3 linked regions of the Rattus norvegicus genome follow. The protein of the gene in region 1 purifies or fractionates together with the protein of each later gene. This does not show direct contact. Links are inferred from orthologs where the notes say so. Each region holds a gene or a part of one and is shown in the gene's direction. Other genes may lie near its edges.

The links.
Region 2: the proteins of Fgf11 (region 1) and Ahcyl1 purify together in Homo sapiens (affinity purification with mass spectrometry; 3 studies listed by BioGRID and IntAct, with this or other methods). This does not show direct contact. The link is inferred for Rattus norvegicus from reciprocal best matches to the Homo sapiens genes FGF11 and AHCYL1.
Region 3: the proteins of Fgf11 (region 1) and Ube2o purify together in Homo sapiens (affinity purification with mass spectrometry; 3 studies listed by BioGRID and IntAct, with this or other methods). This does not show direct contact. The link is inferred for Rattus norvegicus from reciprocal best matches to the Homo sapiens genes FGF11 and UBE2O.

What each region holds. Positions count from the first base shown.
Region 1 is NC_086028.1:55,016,901-55,022,926, reverse strand, and holds the start of Fgf11 (fibroblast growth factor 11), read left to right. Parts: upstream 1-2,153; 5' UTR 2,154-2,270; coding exon 2,271-2,463; intron 2,464-4,071; coding exon 4,072-4,182; intron 4,183-4,392; coding exon 4,393-4,496; intron 4,497-5,065; coding exon 5,066-5,286; intron 5,287-5,522; coding exon 5,523-5,562; coding exon of another isoform or gene 5,563-5,593; 3' UTR 5,594-6,026. Other genes in the region: Tmem102 (transmembrane protein 102), read left to right, coding at 1-282.
Region 2 is NC_086020.1:197,987,121-197,993,046, reverse strand, and holds part of Ahcyl1 (S-adenosylhomocysteine hydrolase-like protein 1), read left to right. Parts: coding exon 1-25; intron 26-1,138; coding exon 1,139-1,233; intron 1,234-2,030; coding exon 2,031-2,137; intron 2,138-2,964; coding exon 2,965-3,081; intron 3,082-3,326; coding exon 3,327-3,390; intron 3,391-4,097; coding exon 4,098-4,186; intron 4,187-4,551; coding exon 4,552-4,622; intron 4,623-4,962; coding exon 4,963-5,057; intron 5,058-5,141; coding exon 5,142-5,240; intron 5,241-5,802; coding exon 5,803-5,871; intron 5,872-5,926. UniProt on the Homo sapiens protein: Multifaceted cellular regulator which coordinates several essential cellular functions including regulation of epithelial HCO3(-) and fluid secretion, mRNA processing and DNA replication.
Region 3 is NC_086028.1:102,272,207-102,278,132, reverse strand, and holds part of Ube2o (ubiquitin-conjugating enzyme E2 O), read left to right. Parts: intron 1-1,005; coding exon 1,006-1,065; intron 1,066-1,224; coding exon 1,225-1,335; intron 1,336-3,305; coding exon 3,306-3,403; intron 3,404-3,769; coding exon 3,770-3,833; intron 3,834-5,298; coding exon 5,299-5,442; intron 5,443-5,817; coding exon 5,818-5,926. UniProt on the Homo sapiens protein: E2/E3 hybrid ubiquitin-protein ligase that displays both E2 and E3 ligase activities and mediates monoubiquitination of target proteins. Negatively regulates TRAF6-mediated NF-kappa-B activation independently of its E2 activity.

The sequences.
Region 1 (6,026 bases):
TGCGAGCGGCTCCCGGCGCTCTACCTGGCGCGGCCGGAAAATGCCGGCGCTTGTTGCCTTGGGCTACTGGATGAGCTGAGCCGAGTGCTAGAGGCCGGGACGCTGCCTCATTATTTTTTGAGCGGCCGAAAGCTCCGTATGGGAGACGGCTCTGCTGCTCTGCGCGGGGCATTGGCCCAGCTTCGCGGGGACCCTGCACAGGCCTTGCGTGAGGCCGTGGAGGAAGCCAAGGTTGCCCGCAAAGGGGGCGGTTTAGCGGGCGTAGGGGGCGGGACCCATTAAAGATTCTACTCCTAAGGGAATGGAAAGTGTTTCCTTTGGCTGGAGAGGGTCATGGAGGAAGGAGACTGCTGCCCCTCGCATACAGTGTGTGGTTGGGTCCAAAGTCTCTTTTCTAAAGGGTTTCTCCAGTATTCTGCCTTGCCTGAGGCCCAAGTTCTCTAAGTCTGGCTAGTGCCCCTTCTATCCCAGTACTGCCTCCCAGAACCTCTCTCCCTCCCTGATTCTTTCAGAGTCTACAGGGAACAGGAAGAATGTGTTTACTGACAAAATGCGGGAAGAAACTGGTTTTTGGAAACCTGGTTCTGATCAATTTGGCTCATAACAAAGCAGAGAGATATTAAGGCCGGATCACAGCCCAGACTGGATGGCACAGCCACCCGTTTCTCCACTTTCCCCACAACTCTCCTCATCCATTTCTGTCCTCACTTCCATCCCAGGAAGTAGAGTCCCTTTTCATTTTCTTTCTATCGGCTATTCCATCTACCCTTGCTCCCAGCCCCGCCATATCAGGCTCTATGTCTCGTTTCCTCTGAACCCCGAGACTTGCAGGCCTTGCCTCTATTCCGCCTGCCTCTGTGACAGTCCCCACTTACAGCTTCCAAGGAACCCCAGGGTTCCGCCCGCCCAGCTTCTCCCAGCGTCTCCGCCCCCTGCCCCGCCCCCGGGCCGGCTCGCAGAGGAGGGGGAGCCTCTGTCGCCGCCGCCGCCTCAGCTTCCCACAGCCGCTGCCGCTGCCTCCGCCGCTCTGCCTGGTCCAACCTCCAGGCCCAGTGCTCTGACTTTGCCGAACCGAGGCGCTCTGCAGAGACATCCTCACTCCTTCCTAGGGGTCCGGGACGCTTAGGCCGACGTTGGGGGGAAACCTCCGCTTGCGGGTGACAGGGAGGGAGGAGCCTGGAGCCGGAGCTCGCGGCACCGGTCGCCCGGATCAACAGGACAGGACAGGTTGAGGGGCGTCGGGGAAAGGAAGGGGTGTTATAGCAGTCCCAGGGAAGACGAGAAAGCCCTGGCGCAGGGAGCTCTGATGCGCTATGACTTATTAAGGGCCTGTTCACGTTTGAGGAGTGTTGACAACGTGGGTGCACTCCTCTCTGGGGGGCCTTGTTAGATTGGAGGGTGTGGGATCTAAGCAGTGCCAGTTGTTCCTCGGGAAATTTAAGGGGCATCTAGAAAACAAACAAACGACTGATGCTCCTTTTGGGGGGGCGACAGAGGGTCCTCCAGACAACCACCTGGTGTATGCACTAGAAAGGGCTGATTTGGAGGTGACTTCAAAAGGAGTGGAGGGTAGCAAGGTGAGGAAATGGTCTCAGCAGCTGAAACTCTGTGGTACTAGAAATGGGGGTGACAGTGAAAAAAAGCATTTTCCAGCCAGAGGGTCTGGGAACCCTTTCTCACTGAACCTAGACAGCCTGGATATTGAGTCATATTTGCTGGGGGCGGGGGGATTTGAAGAAAGTGGGAGATCCACTCCATTTAGAGTATAGCAAAGGAAAAAACAGAGCTGGGCTCCTCTTGACATTGACAGCAGCCTAGCGTGAGCTAATGCCCACAAAGCTTAGGACTTACACCCTTTATGAGAGTAGGCTGGGCAAGAGCGGCCCCTAAATAGGGTAGAAAGAAGCCTTAGGGTGTTGGGAACACATCTTAGAAATAGGAGGGTCTTGACTTCGGGATAGAGGAGGTACCCTCTATCTGGTACAGAGGCCAGAAAGGAGGGAAGGGGAAAGCTTTCATTAGGGGACAAAATTCATGGGTGAGGTCAGCTGAGGAGTGCATAGGCTGCTGGAGCCGCTGGAGCTAGTCAGGGCCCAAGGGTGGGAGCTGGTGGTGTGGGGGGGAATACGGGGGTCTGGGGTTTATCTTCAGATCCTGTGGGTGGGGCGGTGGGTTGGGTCCTGAGCATGCCCTGGTGAGAGGGCTCCTCTTGGGGAGCCCAGGGAGCTCCGGGAGCCTGCTGGTTTGGGGGTGTCTCCTCCCGGGGAGCGATGGCGGCGTTGGCCAGTAGCCTGATCCGACAGAAGCGGGAGGTCCGCGAGCCCGGGGGCAGCCGGCCGGTGTCCGCGCAGCGGCGCGTGTGTCCCCGCGGTACCAAGTCACTTTGCCAGAAGCAGCTCCTCATCCTGCTGTCCAAGGTGCGACTGTGCGGGGGGCGGCCCACGCGACAGGACCGCGGCCCAGGTGAGTGTGGCTAGGGCGGGGTCTCCCGGACTGAAGTCCTGCCTGAGCCCAGGGGCCCTGGAGAATGAAACCCGATGAGGAGGGGGGTGTCCCAGAAGTGGAAGAGGTGGGCCAGAACGACAAAATGTACGGGACTATCCTTCAGTTTTCTTCCTCTTTGCCTGTAATGCCGAATCTCCTTGCTTTCGAGGGCAGGGGGAAGGTTTGAGGGGCGAAGTCGCGCCCCAAGCTTTTCAGCTCCTGTCGGCCCCCCTTCAACACAGGACTCCCCACCCCCACGGTTCTTCGCCTACGTGCGGGTTCTCGCGATTCTTTCCATCCGAAGTGGCGGGGCTTGAGGGGTTCTGGACGCTTGGGTCACCCCGAGGGTTTCTGCAGCCCTGGCTGCCCCGCCCCCGCTCCGGTTCTCCCGCCCCTCCACGCTTTGGCTCTGTTCCTCCTGGTCCAGCTCGCCTGGCCAGGAGCCAATCTCTCCAGCTCTCCCCCGGGTGTCCTTGCAGCTACCTCGTCAGCCAGCCCCCTCCATACGCCCTCCTTCTGTGACCTGCGCTTCAAGAAGGGTGCTGGGCACCCCCTCCCATTACTCCTGTGTGACTCGGAAATCCGGTCCTACAGCCTCCGGGGACCCTCTACCAGTAGGAATTCACACACAGTTCGGGCTGAAGACCAGCACAGGACTTAGGAGGGGGGTCGTACCACTTACAAGGGGGAAGAGGGAAAGCGGCAGAGATCAAGCCAAGGGAAGGGAGAGATGTAAGGGTTGGTATGTGATTCCCGTCCAGGTACGACAGTTAGGGAGTCCCTCTGGCCTCGCTCCAGGCCGCTGCCGGTTCCCTTAGGGGTAGCCCCTTGCGCCCTCCTCCCCCATCACCAACAATAGGTAGTGGTACAGTCCGCAGCCCACCCTCTGAGTGGGACCCAGCCCCCACGTGATGCAGCCTGCTTCTCCATCTCTGTCCCCTCTTCCTTTTCCTTGATGTGGTTTAAATGTCCCCTATCCCCGGCCAGTTACCTGGCTGAAGGGTAGAGGCTCAGTCTCAGGAAAAACTGGACCTTCATGAGCCAGCCGACTGACTGACAGACAGACAGACAGATGGGTCAGTGTCAGACAGGCCGGCGCTGTGCCAGAGCAAGGCCCGCGCCAAGCGAGCGGCAGCTGCAGCAGCAGGTGCTGAGTCAGCGTCAGTCAAGCCCAGTCCCACCCCTACTTCTAAGGGGGAGCCCCTTCCCTGTGGTCACCTTGCTGCTCACCCCGACATTTGCAAACACATTGCCCTGCGTCTCTGGCACTGTCCGTTGCCTTTGTCTCTCTCTTCTACCGCCTCCCTGCCCCCTCCCCCAACTCTGGTAGGGAGAGGAATTAAACCATTTAAATAAATTTCAATAAATTAAGCTGACGCTCATGATTAGAGAAAGCGGAAGGGACCCACACCCCAGCTTCCTCAGGAATCACAGAGAGGTGGAAGGAAGCTGGCGTGGAGGGTAAGGGAGCTGGGGCCCTGGAACCCTCTTCATTCCCCCTTCCTTCTCTCCTGTGATCCCGCCAAGTGTAGGAATGTTTCTGGGAACAGAGATGTCATTTTCAAAGATAAATGTCTCTCTCTCCAGAGCCTCAGCTCAAAGGCATCGTCACCAAACTGTTCTGCCGCCAGGGTTTCTACCTCCAGGCGAATCCAGATGGGAGCATCCAGGGCACCCCAGAGGACACCAGCTCCTTCAGTGAGAAGGGACACCAGCTGCAGGGTGGGAAGTGGGGAGATGGAGACAGGAGATGACAATCCTATCACCTCCTCAGGCTTTGCCACCTTCTGTTTGTCTTCCTGAGCCCCCAGGGAGGCGGTGGGGCTGGAGTCGGGGGCGGGGCGGGGGGGGGGAACTCAGATGGAAGCCAGGTACCTGGGTACTGATGCTGGCTTTCTACTCCCCCAGCCCACTTCAATCTGATTCCCGTGGGGCTTCGTGTGGTCACCATCCAGAGTGCCAAGCTGGGTCACTACATGGCCATGAATGCTGAGGGGCTATTGTACAGCTCGGTAAGACGACCAGGCTGAGTGGCCTGGAGTATGGGGGACACCCTCAGCAGAGAACCACCCTTTGTACACACAGGACTTACACCCAGGACTCTGGGCTGATGAGGGCCTGGTCCAGAACTCCTCCTCTAGAGTTTACCCATCTCCACTCGCAATGCTCACCCTCAAGTACCCCAGGCTCTTTGGATGCTCGATTCTTTCTGCTATTAGGGAGACATTTCTCAGCCTTTAAGCCTCATCTTTCCTCTAGATAAGTAAGAGGTTGGGAATGAAGAGAAGCGATCTTATTTCTAGTGCCCCTAAAGATCTAGTTCCCGCCCCTGGGTGATCCACCAGGTTCTTCCTATTCTCCCTGTGCTTGTGCTCTGGTTTCTGTGTGGACTCAGTAGCTGCCGTCCTCCTTTCCAAACAATGTATGGATTATATCCTGGCTGCTTCTTCCCAAGGGCTCCATTCTGCCAGTGATCTCTCTCTCTCTCTCTCTCTCTCTCTCTCTCTCTCTGTGTGTTTGTCCGTGTGTCCGTGTGTCCGTGTGTGTCTCCACGCCTCTTTCTGGATCTTTGTCTTCTCAGCCGCATTTCACAGCAGAGTGTCGCTTTAAGGAGTGCGTCTTTGAGAATTACTATGTCCTGTATGCCTCTGCTCTCTACCGCCAGCGTCGTTCTGGCCGGGCCTGGTACCTAGGCCTGGACAAGGAAGGCCGGGTCATGAAGGGAAACCGAGTCAAGAAGACCAAGGCAGCTGCCCACTTTGTGCCCAAGCTCCTGGAGGGTGGGTATGGGCTCAAGAAAAGGTGGGTCATGTGGGAGGTATTGACCTTGACATGAATACTTAGTGACATAGATGCCCATAAATGTTCAACGGCATGTTGTTATGGCGGGCCAAGCGGGAAGGCTTTAGCCTTTGGCGGGGGTTGGGGTTCTCCAAGGGTGAGTGTAAGAGAAGGGAGGCCTCTCAGAGCTAGGATTCTTCCTGGCTCTCTGTGTGCCTAATTCTCCTTCCTTGCTGCTCTCTCTCTCCCCTTCACAGTGGCCATGTACCGGGAGCCTTCTCTCCACAGTGTCCCTGAGACTTCCCCTTCCAGTCCCCCTGCCCATTGAGATGTAGTCCCTGGACTGGAGGCTCTCTGCACTTCCAGTGAGCCGGCCACCGCCACACCCCGTCTTCCAGCCCTGCTCCAGGCCTTGCTGCTCTTGCCCCTGTTGCCACACACATGCCCTGAGCAGCCAGGTCTCACCAGGTGCTGTACCCTGTGGGAGCTTAGGAGCTCTCTGGGACCTCCAGAATTGCTGAGCTCTTAGATCCTGGGGCCCAGGAGAGGCTCCAAGACGGAGGCGCTGGAAATGATCCTGGCTGGTCAGCTCTCTTTTTTTCCCACACTAACTCCTGCCCCTTAAGAGAACCCCATTTTTTCCTAAAAGGCACCGGGGTTCCAACACTGACAAGGCAAGGGAATTCTCTTTGCCCTGGCTGAGCCAGTCTCTGAAGCCATGTCCTTCTTTTCATTGCTGCAAAGCCATAGCTTTCTAGGTC
Region 2 (5,926 bases), on another chromosome or scaffold:
GTAGCTGCAGCACTGGCTGAGGCTGGTAAGTTCCATTTTACCAACTTTACAACAAAATTGTCATTATACCATACACACACACACACACACACACACACACACACACACACACACACACATATATATATACTATAAATTTGGGCAGTCTTAAAACAACAGAGCCTGAATATCAAGCTTAGTGCTGAAGTATTTCCCTGGTATGCAGCGCAGCAGTGAATTTGATCCCCATTGTCATGGGGGGGGGGGGGGTGAAGAGAACAGGAAAAGTTCTACTAAAGCCAAGGTACACTTTAAAACAGAAACAAAATCAAACAGCACCTAAGGAAATACTCGATTCTAGTGTTGAGTGGATGAAGGAGGAATAGTAAATGTGAGCTCAGCGGTCTCTTCTCCCCAAAAGTTTTACCAACTTTGACAGAACACTGTGAGTGGTCTCTTTTATATTGATGGTTAATGGATTATTTGGTGTTTTGTAGTATACTAAAACATATGTGCTATATAAGTTTTAATTAAAATTAATTTTTATTGTCAAAATGTTCAAATATACATCACCTTGAAGTTGGTCTGAGGACCTTCCACCTTCTAGGATTTTCTAATAATTGTTTGTTGTAGAAGATTTAAGAAATTTTTTTTTTAAAAATTGACAAACTTTTCTTTATACATTACATTGGTAAAACAAACCTTAGTAGGTACACATTTTTTATAACCAAAACATTACATTTTCAGAAGTAATTTCTCATATCACTGACAGGTGACTGCATCATTCATTCCTAGGCCACATGGTTTTACTTCATTTTCCTAGAATTGCATATTTAAATTATTCTGAGGCATCTGTTGCTGTTCAGTGCTCTTGAAGCAGCTTTGTTTTGCACACTTCACTTTGCCTCCTTAAGATGCAGTATAAAGAGTAAAATTGACCTAAAGACAATAATATTTTATGACTCCAAAATATTTTTAAAACAGAAATCTCTTAATTTCTTAAGTACAGTAATTTCTGAACTAAAAAGTACCATTTTGACTTTTTAAGTTTTCCCTCTCTGAATTTTTCTTTTCCCTTTCATTCTTCATGTGGATCTCAGAGCTGGTATTGATGTGCACATCAGAAGCAGCATTAACTAATTTATTTCTGTCTCCATAGGAGTTGCAGTGTTTGCTTGGAAGGGCGAGTCAGAAGATGATTTCTGGTGGTGCATTGACCGCTGTGTCAACATGGATGGGTGGCAGGCTAACATGGTAATCATTCATGTCCACCCCATATTTTTTACTATGGATTTATTTCCTTTTCTCCTTTAAAGCATGGTTCCCTAAATATATTTTTGTGTGTTTGGTCTTATTTACTGACTATATTGCTAAAGTGTTCATAACACAATACCTACTCGGTATGGATCTAAGATGCACAAGTCCCTGGGTTCAATCTCCAGCACCAAAAAGAAAGAAAGGAAAGGAAGGAAGGAAAGAAAGAAATGGAAAAAAGCTCTGCGAAGTGAATAGAAAGGTGGGGGAAGGGTAAGCTGAGGTGGACACAGGGCTCAAACACAGCAGAATAAACAGAAGGAAATGATGTGGTTGGTCCCTCTTTGGAGTAGGAGTCTTATTTCTTTCCTTCCTGCTCCACTTCTCCTTTTGCATTCAGAGGAGCTGTATATGTCAGCTAGACTGAAAATGAGCCCATGATTTGTAACACTTATTTACTGTAGCTGAGCATGGCGCTTGCCTGTATTCCCAGCATTTGAGAGGCTGAAGCAGGAATCCTCGAGCTCAGGAATTTTAGAGTAGCCTGAGCAACAAGCAAGATCCAGTCTCAAAAGAGAACTTTCCGTTGTAGCCTAGAACTCATTGAGGAATTCTCTTAATCACTTTACACCAACAGATTTAACTATATTTCCACTGTCTAAGCCTATTCTGCTGAGCGTTAAGACGTGCTCTTCCAAAATATCCAGGGCTCTCTCACTAGTGTAGAAAATGGGCTCAAAGTTCCCCCTAGCTCTAGCAGCCTGAATGCCCATAGAAGTCTTCTGGCTGTTCTGTAGATCCTGGATGATGGGGGAGACTTAACCCACTGGGTTTATAAGAAGTATCCAAACGTGTTTAAGAAGATCCGAGGCATTGTGGAAGAGAGCGTGACTGGTGTTCACAGGTAACAGATTCTGGAGTAGCTGCCCCTTGTGTCCTTGCCTCATCAAATTCTTCTGGTCTCTCCTAGACTTTAGGGCTGTGTTTCAGACTTTAAATAACTAAGTGGGAGTGTCTTCATTAGATAAAACTGAGTTTTTACTTTTGCAAAATCAAAATGACCATAGAAGGAATTTTGAAGGAAGTTTTTCAAATTCTAATTCACATGCTTTTATCTCTCCCATTTACTCCACTGAGTAATTAACAATTATTTGGGAGTAGGGGCGTAGGGAGGAGTGTGTCTTGTAAAACTTGTGCTCAATGTTGTATTATAATTTTTATATTTTAAATATGGAAGGAAAAGTATTTTTTAAAAAAAAAAAGCTATATGTGATGCAACAAAAAGTAAAACTGGAGATATACTCTTGGCTTGGTGGAAATAACTAAATGGTATCTAGGAGCACTGCTCTACCGGGGCACAGTGTACGTGATTGCTCTCACAGACACAGTGAATCACATCAAAACACTTGTCATCTTTGTTGACCTGAAGTAAACAGGAGTACTGAAAGTTAGAACAATGCTGGCCTAAGGTTATAATGTTCCATTTGTGGAAGAGCAGTAAATTACTTCAACTGAAAATTTTTTACTTTTCTTCCCCAAAAGTAAAGGATAAAGGTAGAAGGAAATGAGTTGAGGAGAGATGACAAGAAAATAGTCATGTTTCCGAAGAATTTCTGGGCATAAATAAGAATAAGGAGGGCAGCATGACTTGAAGAGACAGAAGCAGACTGCTGTTTACTGTTTGTCACTAACTGGTTGTGTGTTTGTTTTGTGGCTTCTTCTCCCTTTTAGGCTGTATCAGCTCTCCAAAGCTGGGAAGCTCTGTGTTCCAGCCATGAATGTCAATGATTCTGTTACCAAACAGAAGTTTGATAACTTGTACTGCTGCCGAGAATCCATTTTGGATGGGTATGTTGAAATGTATACATTCAGACTTGCAGGGATTGGTGGTATTTGTTTGACATGTTAGTCTGATACCTGTAGCTTGCCCCTGTAGTCTCCCACCTTTACATGTAACTAAAGGGGCCCACTTCACACTGATCTCAGCCAGCTTTCAAATGAATTTCTCCTGGGCGTTGCCCTACACTTGAGTTTGGTACAAAGGGACCAAGTTGTAAATGATGTTTGAGATGAGTCCTTGTCTGTTTCCACAGCCTGAAGAGGACCACAGATGTGATGTTTGGTGGGAAACAGGTGGTGGTGTGTGGCTATGGTGAGGTAAATAGTTGGGCCCCCGTGTCTCTGTCTATTCTTATTAGAAGGGCTTTAGAGAAACACTGGAGGAAGGAGACAATCTACAAACACTGACACATGGTTTTCCATACTGTGCTTGAAAATAGTGGCAGAAGTCCTTCTTTTCATATTCATGAATTAAAGGCAGAGTGTATTGAACTTCCATATTTTAGCACTTTATCTTATTGATTAATGTCAACATTACTGTCTCCCACTTATAACCTTTTATGAAATAAAATTCAAGCGGATAAGTAGCATTTTTATCCCCATCTTATGACTTGCATTATAATGGAGAAACCGAAGTGGCATTATAGTTGAATGTCTCTAAAGTGGACTAGGTCCTAGGAAGTTTCATCGTCTTCAGCAGTGGTTCACTGAAGTTCTTGGGCTGCTGGGTATTGAGTAGACACATTGGAAGAAAGTTTTACCAGGTTTTTATGGAGTAAATCAGTTGTTCTTGTTTGGTCTTATTTTCATATTTCCCCAACTCTTGCTGTGACTTGTCTGCTAAATTATCTCTAATTGAGGTTTACAGCCTAGATTGGGTTTCTTTCTGCTCCAGCTGGGGTTGGAATGTTCCCTGGATGATGACTGATTTAAAGAAGACTAATTCCTATCTCCTCAAAAGCTTGTCTGCCCTGGTGATCATGTCTTACTAGACCTGGCAACTTGGGCTTTCCTATATTCTGCAGGTAGGAAAGGGCTGCTGTGCTGCTCTCAAGGCCCTTGGAGCAATTGTCTACATCACAGAAATTGACCCCATCTGTGCTCTGCAGGCCTGGTAAGGGTGGGGTGCTGTAACACTGTCAGGTTTGCTGTTCGTGTTTTGTATTTCTGCAAGCTGGTGATTCATTTACTTCACTGTTTTCGTAGAAATCTCCCAGGGAAAGAGAGTAAGATGCTTTGTTCCCTTCACTCTAAGCCTTTTATGGGGCCTCTTGGCATTTTCTCCTGTGTAGACTCTGGGGCTCCACAGCAGCCAGTCTGTAGCTCCCTGTAGCTCATCATTTGCCATTGCTGGGATGGAACATTGGCTTTTACTTCAGAAGGGGATTTTGTTGTCTAATTTTGTGGCCATTTCAGAACATTTTGTCAACATGAGACACACGTGTGCTTTGCTTATTGTGTTGCTGTCTTTTCTTCCAGCATGGATGGGTTCCGGGTGGTGAAGCTGAATGAAGTCATCCGGCAGGTGGACGTTGTAATAACTTGCACAGGTGAGTATCGGTGCCTTGGTGCATGGAGAGCAGTGCTAACTCTCAGGCTAAATCTCAAAAGTGACCCAGAAGGTAAGACCTGTGCTCAGTGTGAAGTGTCAGAGTGAGTTCTCAGAACTTTTAGCATTTTCCAAAGGCGCTTTTTTACCATGGCGATTTTTTTCAGATTACTTGGTCTTAAAGCCAAATAATTGAGCTCAAGCATTTTGTGTGCACATCTCTCTCAAAATGTGCACAAGCTCCTTAGTGGTTAGCAGACACCTCCCAGGCTCCAGCTGGAAACAGTTGGCATTCTTGTTGCCCAGCTTCTCCTTCTTCAGCCACTCTTCTTTACTTTTAGGAAATAAGAATGTAGTGACCCGGGAGCACTTGGACCGAATGAAAAATAGTTGCATTGTATGTAATATGGGCCATTCCAACACAGAAATTGATGTGGTAAGGTTTCTCTCCATTACAGTTAGGCCTTCCTCTGCATTTATTTCACTCAAGCCACAACCAGCTGTCTGTTCTTCCTTCCAGACCAGCCTCCGCACTCCAGAGCTAACATGGGAGCGCGTACGTTCTCAGGTGGACCATGTCATCTGGCCTGATGGCAAGCGGGTCGTCCTTCTAGCAGAGGTAACGCACACCTCCGACTGCAGGCCTCTATGCTAGGGCACAGAAGAAGGGCAGGGGAGCTGTGGAAACACTAGGTCTGTGTTCCAGTGAGTTCTGTCTTGGGATAAAGATGTATTTTCCTGGGCTGGAGAGATGGCTCATCAGTTAAGAGCACCCGACTGCTCTTCCAGAGGTCATGAGTTCAATTCCCAGCAACCACATGGTGGCTCACAACCATCTGTAAAGAGATCCGATGCCCTCTTCTGGTGTATCTGAAGACAGCTACAGTGTACTTATATATAATAAATAAATAAATAAATCTTTAAAAAAAAAAAAAAAGATGTATTTTCCTAATTGTCTGTCCCCTAAAAGAGAAGCACACCAAGAAAACTCCTTTTTGCTAAGTACATGTGGTGTTTCCAGCCCTCAGCCAATTTACTTATTTGTAAAGAGGGTAAAGCCCAGAGCCCTGATCTGAGTGGAGTGCAGAGAGGTGTAGAGTATTCCCTGTCTGCTTGACGTTGGTGCCATTAGAACCTAGGAAAAGGCAGCGAGCGGCTCATCCTGTCTTTCCTCTTCCCAGGGTCGTTTACTCAATTTGAGCTGCTCCACAGTTCCTACCTTTGTCCTTTCCATCACGGCTACAACACAGGTATGTGGCAAGATGGCTGGTTTTCCTCCACTGAAATGGGAGCTGCGGACATGGA
Region 3 (5,926 bases), about 47 Mb from region 1:
CCCTGATTGGTGGTGTCTCGAAGTCTAAGCTAAGAGGCAGTTAAGGTAGGGCAGGCACAAAGTGTCTTTACAGTTAGAAGGGGCACCAGCCTCTCTGCATTCCCTCCAGTGCCTTGAAGCCAGGAGTCAGGCAGCCATGGGTGATGGTAGGAGCTGTATGTGTATGCACTTGGGCTCTGTTTGTGGCTTCAATCCTGTCACGGGTCCCAGTGCTGGCTGCAGAGGTACCATGGAAGCAGTAGGCTAACACCGATCACCACGTTGTCATCTGGAACAGGTCTGGGTCCCTGTGGCAGTTTGTGCATTCCTACTTATCGTGGTGCTTCATTGCTTCCCTCTAAGTCATAGCCTACTTGTAGAGTGTGTTTTAGTTGTCCTCCTCAAAGCTGTGGTGACCTTGTACTCCCCCCCAGCGTTTCCATCTTGTTCCTCTGCAGTCACCTTTCTCAGTTGAGAGCAGAGAGGCCTTTGCTGATGTTATTGAGAGCTGGGTAGAGCTTGAGGGCAGCTCTCCCTGGTGTGTGCTTGCCAGTCCTGGAGCAATCACTCACGGGTTGCTCCATGGCAGAACAATCCAGATTTGGAGACTCGAGAACAGAGAAGACGAATCAGCCTGGCAGAGAGGCAGCTCTGCCTGGGCTGTAGAGGCTGAGGCCACCCAGCAGCAGTAGGTGGCAGTTCTGGGGGTTCACTTGGGTCAGGACAGGCTGTGCAATGTCACAGATAAGGAGCAGGCTGCAGCTGGGCAGGCAGGATAACCCAGATTAGGAGGGTGGTGTCCAGTGACAGCTGGCTTCATGGTGACTGGCCACTGCCCAGTGTCATGCCAGTCCTCCAACCACTTCTGAGCACTGATGAGCCAAGGTCAGAGGGTAAGACACTGAGAGAAGGACTGAATACAGATAAAAGGTTCCCTTGTCTGCCCCTGGCGGGATGCACCTGAGTGGAGTGCGTTCTGCCTCAGGTCTGCTGTTTCCAGGCCTCTCATTCATGTTTTCTTTACAGCTGAAACTGGAGGACCGCTCTGTGGTGCCCCGGGATGTGGTCCGGCACATGCGCTCAACTGTGAGTCAGCCCCTCATCCCCATCCCATCGGGCTGTTGAGTCTGTCTGCTCCCACTCTTGTTTGGAGCAGAGCTGCTTTGTTGGGGAGTGAAGATCACTAGGGAGTGTCTGTTTGGGGTCTCCTAGTGCAACCGTGTGAATTTTTCCTTCTTCCCCTAGGACAGTCAGTGTGGCACGGTGATAGACGTCAACATTGACTGTGCCGTCAAGCTCATTGGCACCAACTGCATCATTTACCCTGTCAACAGCAAGGACCTCCAGCACATCTGGGTGAGTGGTGGCCACTTATCTTGGCTGTATGGTCTCCGTGCTGCTCCTGCCAAGTGCAGCCTTGGTGTTGCCCTTGCGTGTGAGCTACTGGACATGAGGTCATCAGGGTCTGCCCCCTCTGCCGCGGCCTCAGTGCAGATCAGGACTTTACTTGTTTCTCACTACCACAGACAGACACGGTTTTGCTTGCTTGCTTGTTTGCTGTGTGGGGCGTTTTTGCATGCATACAGTCTGTGTACCACTTGCGTGCTGATACCAGAAGAGGGAGTTAGCCAGGTCCCCAGCAAGAGAGGACAGTGCTCGTAACTGCTGAGCCATCTCTCCGTCTCCAGCCAACACTTAGCACCAAGAAGGAAGAAGAGATGGATGGCCCCATAGGCAAGACACAGATCCAGAGGATCCAGCTCTGCCCTTTGACCTCTGAGAATATGGCACCCACGTGGCACACATACACTCATGCAGCAGAGTACTCATACATATACGAACAACAGCAAAACATTCCTTTGTCTTGTGAAAAGGACTTTCAACTTACCCAGAAGGGCTAAGTCTGTGTGCCCCCTCTCCAGTGTGCATCTGCTGACCTCCCCACAGAGCCCCATCATCTTCACCTCCTGAACCATCTGAAAGCCCCCAGAGCCCCTGCTCACTACATTCTCTACTTTCCACAATTCGGATACAGCCTGTAGACGGAGGAGTCCGTGGTCACACCACATGCACACTGCCTGACCTTCAGATTGCCCGGCTGTGCTTTCCCCCTGAGGCTATCCAGGAACACACCTGGCATTTACCTGTCAGTTTTTCTTTCCCATCTGGATGTCCTTCCACATCCTGGACGGTGATACTGCAAAAGCTTGTGCGTGATAATGCCTCATGGACAGACTCCCAGCATGCCTTGGTGCTGTGCAGCTGTGTGTAGGCTTTATTTTTTTTTTTTTTTAAAGAACTATGCATTTATTTTATGTATATGTGTGCACTGTAGCTGTCCTCAGACACACCAGAAGAGGGCATCAGATCTCATTACAGATGGTTGTGAGCCACCATGTGGTTGTTGGGAATTGAACTCAGGACCTTTGGAAGAGCAGGCAGTGCTTTTTTTTTTTTTTTTTTTTTTTTCCCCCCCCGGAGCTGGGGACCGAACCCAGGGCCTTGCGCTTCCTAGGTAAGCGCTCTACCACTGAGCTAAATCCCCAGCCCCATGCAGGCAGTGTTCTTAACCACTGAGCCATCTCTCCAGCCCCAATGTGTAGACTTTTTTTTAATGTCCAGTGCTACTCTACTGCTGGGGTGCTTACTCTGCATGCAGGTCATGTTGATCTTCATAGTCCTCTCCACTGTGAGGTCATCCTTTACCCCCCAGTCAGTAATTATGTTCCACACATCAGACTCCGTGTTAGTCCACCATCTGCAAGCCTTAGTCTTGGGAACATTGCCATTTAAAGAGGCCATGCCTCTGACAGTCACACGTGGTGTCTTCCTTAAGTCATTGTTCCCTTGTTTCTGTTGGTTGGCATTCTTCTGTGTGGAAGGGCTGTGCCTACTGCCCTGTTTCTTTGCTCATTCATTTTTATGAGTATGCACTTATTCGACTGCTTATAATTCAGTACTCTCATCACTTTTCCCTTCAATTGTCCCAAATGAGGAAGCTCCTTTGGGATGGCTTCTGTTTGCTGAACACTTTTTAACAGCAAGTTCACTGCGCTCAGTGTTCTCAGTGGATTGACCTTTATTCATGGTCTCTACCTATCCACAAAGCCACCTCCCAACCATGCCAACCTCCTCGTGCTGGTTCCTCTGCCACTGTGGGACACTCCCGTTGCTAGGAGCCCACAGTTCCTCTGCCTGCTCAGGAGAAGGGACGTGGAATGCAGTGTTAATACATCGTTCAGAACCTTTTACATCCTACTGGGGTCAAGAAGACTCTCGGCTCTGTGGTGTGTGTCCTAGCTCAGTGCCATGTCCTTGATCTGCAGCCCTTCATGTATGGAGACTATATCGCCTATGACTGCTGGCTGGGGAAGGTCTATGACTTGAAGAACCAGATCATCCTCAAACTGTCCAATGGGGCCAGGTAGGTGTCAGCTTAGGGACAGCCGCCTGAGTCTCCAGCGCTGTGAGGTCAGGGGTGGTCCCAGACGGTAATGGATGGTGCTGGCATTCAGCACCTGTATCCCCGTGGTAACTCCTGTCCACCCCCTCTACAGCTCAGGCTTTGGTATCTGAGCTTGGTGAGGTGTTTCATTTGGACATCTCTGTTCTGCAGTGTTAGTAGTGGCGGGCACTCAGATGGAGCTGTGCTCCTGTGCTGTGGCAGAGGCTGAGCCGTAGGTGGAAGATGAATGGCGTGTTCTGGGGATGCTCTAGTCTCAGGGCCTCTGGTCCTTGGTGTTTGGTGCTTACTGTGCCCTGGTGGAGACCAAGCCTCTGTCTGTTTCAGGTGCTCCATGAACACTGAAGATGGTGCCAAACTCTACGATGTCTGCCCTCACGTCAGCGACTCGGTACGTTTGCTCTGCCAGAAGGGAGTCATCATGTCTGTTCCTCAGCTGCTTAGACATGAGGACTGTGCGAGGCTGGGCAAGGTTGTGAGGCCAGGGGAAGAGGGCACCAGAGCTGCTTGAGGCTTGGGTAGGGGCATTAAACACTAATTTGTTACTAGTCTCACTTGGGTGGTTGGCTGAGGTGGGATGAGGTGGGGTAAGATTCATTTTATGAGAAAATCAGAGAAAAGGAAATGCACACCATGTCCATGGAACGTGTGTGGAGGCAAAGAAAGGTCAGGTCCCTGGTACTGGGGGAAGAGGACTGTGAGTCGTCATGTGTGTGGGTCCTCTGCTCTTTATCTCTCCGAGGGCCACTTGTTTTGTTTTCCAGTTTGTTCTATAGCTTGGGCCAGCCTCCAACACAAACTCTCAGCTCCTGAGTGCTAGGATTGCCGGTGTGACACCACACTGTCAGCCTTGTCTCTCACCCTTCAGCACACAGTCACTTTGTCCAGCAGGAATACAGCACAGTAACACACGGACGTAGTTCGTACTAGAGACGTCGTATTAAACAAGTGTGTGCTATTGCTCTCTAGGGCTTTGCTTCTGAGTGTGTGACCCTGACCACCAGCCCTGCGTTGCCTGAGAGCCTGTTAAGGCCTGGAACAGTCTGCAGTGCATTTTAATATGATTACTAGCACCTGGTTTGCACCAGGCTTGGGAAATATATTCTCTGTAGACTATGCTCCGGCCATCCTAGATGCCATGTCATGCGACTAGCCAAGGAGGGCTAATGTAAGATGGCTTTTAAGAACAGTAACCAGGGGTGGGGATTTAGCTCAGTGGCAGAGTGCTTGCCTAGCAAGCGCAAGGCCTTGGGTTCGGTCCCCAGCTCCGAAAAAAAGAAAAAAGAAAAAGAAAAACAGTAACCAGTTCCTTAACTCCCTGCTAGCCCTCCTCCCAGTTTCCAGCCCAGCCACTTCAAATGTTTCTGCTTAAACAGTCCTTTCTCCCAGTGTTCCCAACACTATCAGCTCCAAACTATAACAACCATTGTAGCCTATCTGCTCATGACTCATCTGTCTCCTAACCATGTCTTCTGCACCAACTGGCTTCTCTCACTCTGCCAACCCCTCACCCTTTTTCTCTGCCTTGCCTGGCTTTTGTAAACCTATCCACCTATCCCGTTTCCAGAAATCCAAGAGGCAACCAACACTGAAGGCCTAGTGTTAAACAGTCTTTTTTTTTTTTTTTTTTTTTGGTTCTTTTTTTCGGAGCTGGGGATTGAACCCAGGGCCTTGCGCTTCCTAGGCAAGCGCTCTACCACTGAGCTAAATCCCCAACCCCAAACAGTCTTAACAGCTAGAGATCCTTAAACAGCCAGTTTACTAGCAACCAGGCATCCATTAATGTGCCAGGGACACAAGGTAAGTCACACTACAGCTGACTACTGTGCACTTTCCTCTGCCCTCGAATCCTGCAGGGTCTCTTCTTTGATGACTCCTATGGCTTCTACCCAGGCCAAGTACTTATTGGCCCAGCCAAGATCTTCTCCAGTGTCCAGTGGCTCTCAGGGGTCAAGCCTGTGCTCAGCACCAAGAGCAAGTTCCGTGTGGTAGTGGAGGAGGTAAGGACATAACTGGTGGGGTGAGGGGTAGAATTGTAAGCTCCAGGTCCTAGGACTACACTGCTGCCCTCCGGCCTGCCCCCCAGTACCCAAACCCTGGTGACCTAAATGAGATTCAAGCATTGGAGCAGCCTAGGCGTAGTCCTGGGGTAGTTACTGATCCCTCCACTTGCACTGCTTGTGCAGACTGGAGTGGCCCTGACTCTACTGGGTGGGTGGCCACAGTATATCTGTATGTGGTGCTGCAGACCTTGAAAGTCTACTTCTGGCAATCTACTTATCCATGCCTAACTTTAACCCTAATGATTGATTGGTTTGTGTCGGGCTGGGCTCCGAGCAGCTATTTGAAGAGACTATTCCATCCACTGTCCTCAGGTGCAGGTTGTAGAATTGAAAGTCACGTGGATCACCAAGAGTTTCTGCCCTGGGGGCACGGACAGCGTCAGCCCCCCACCTTCTGTCATTGCTCAGGAAAACCTAGGCA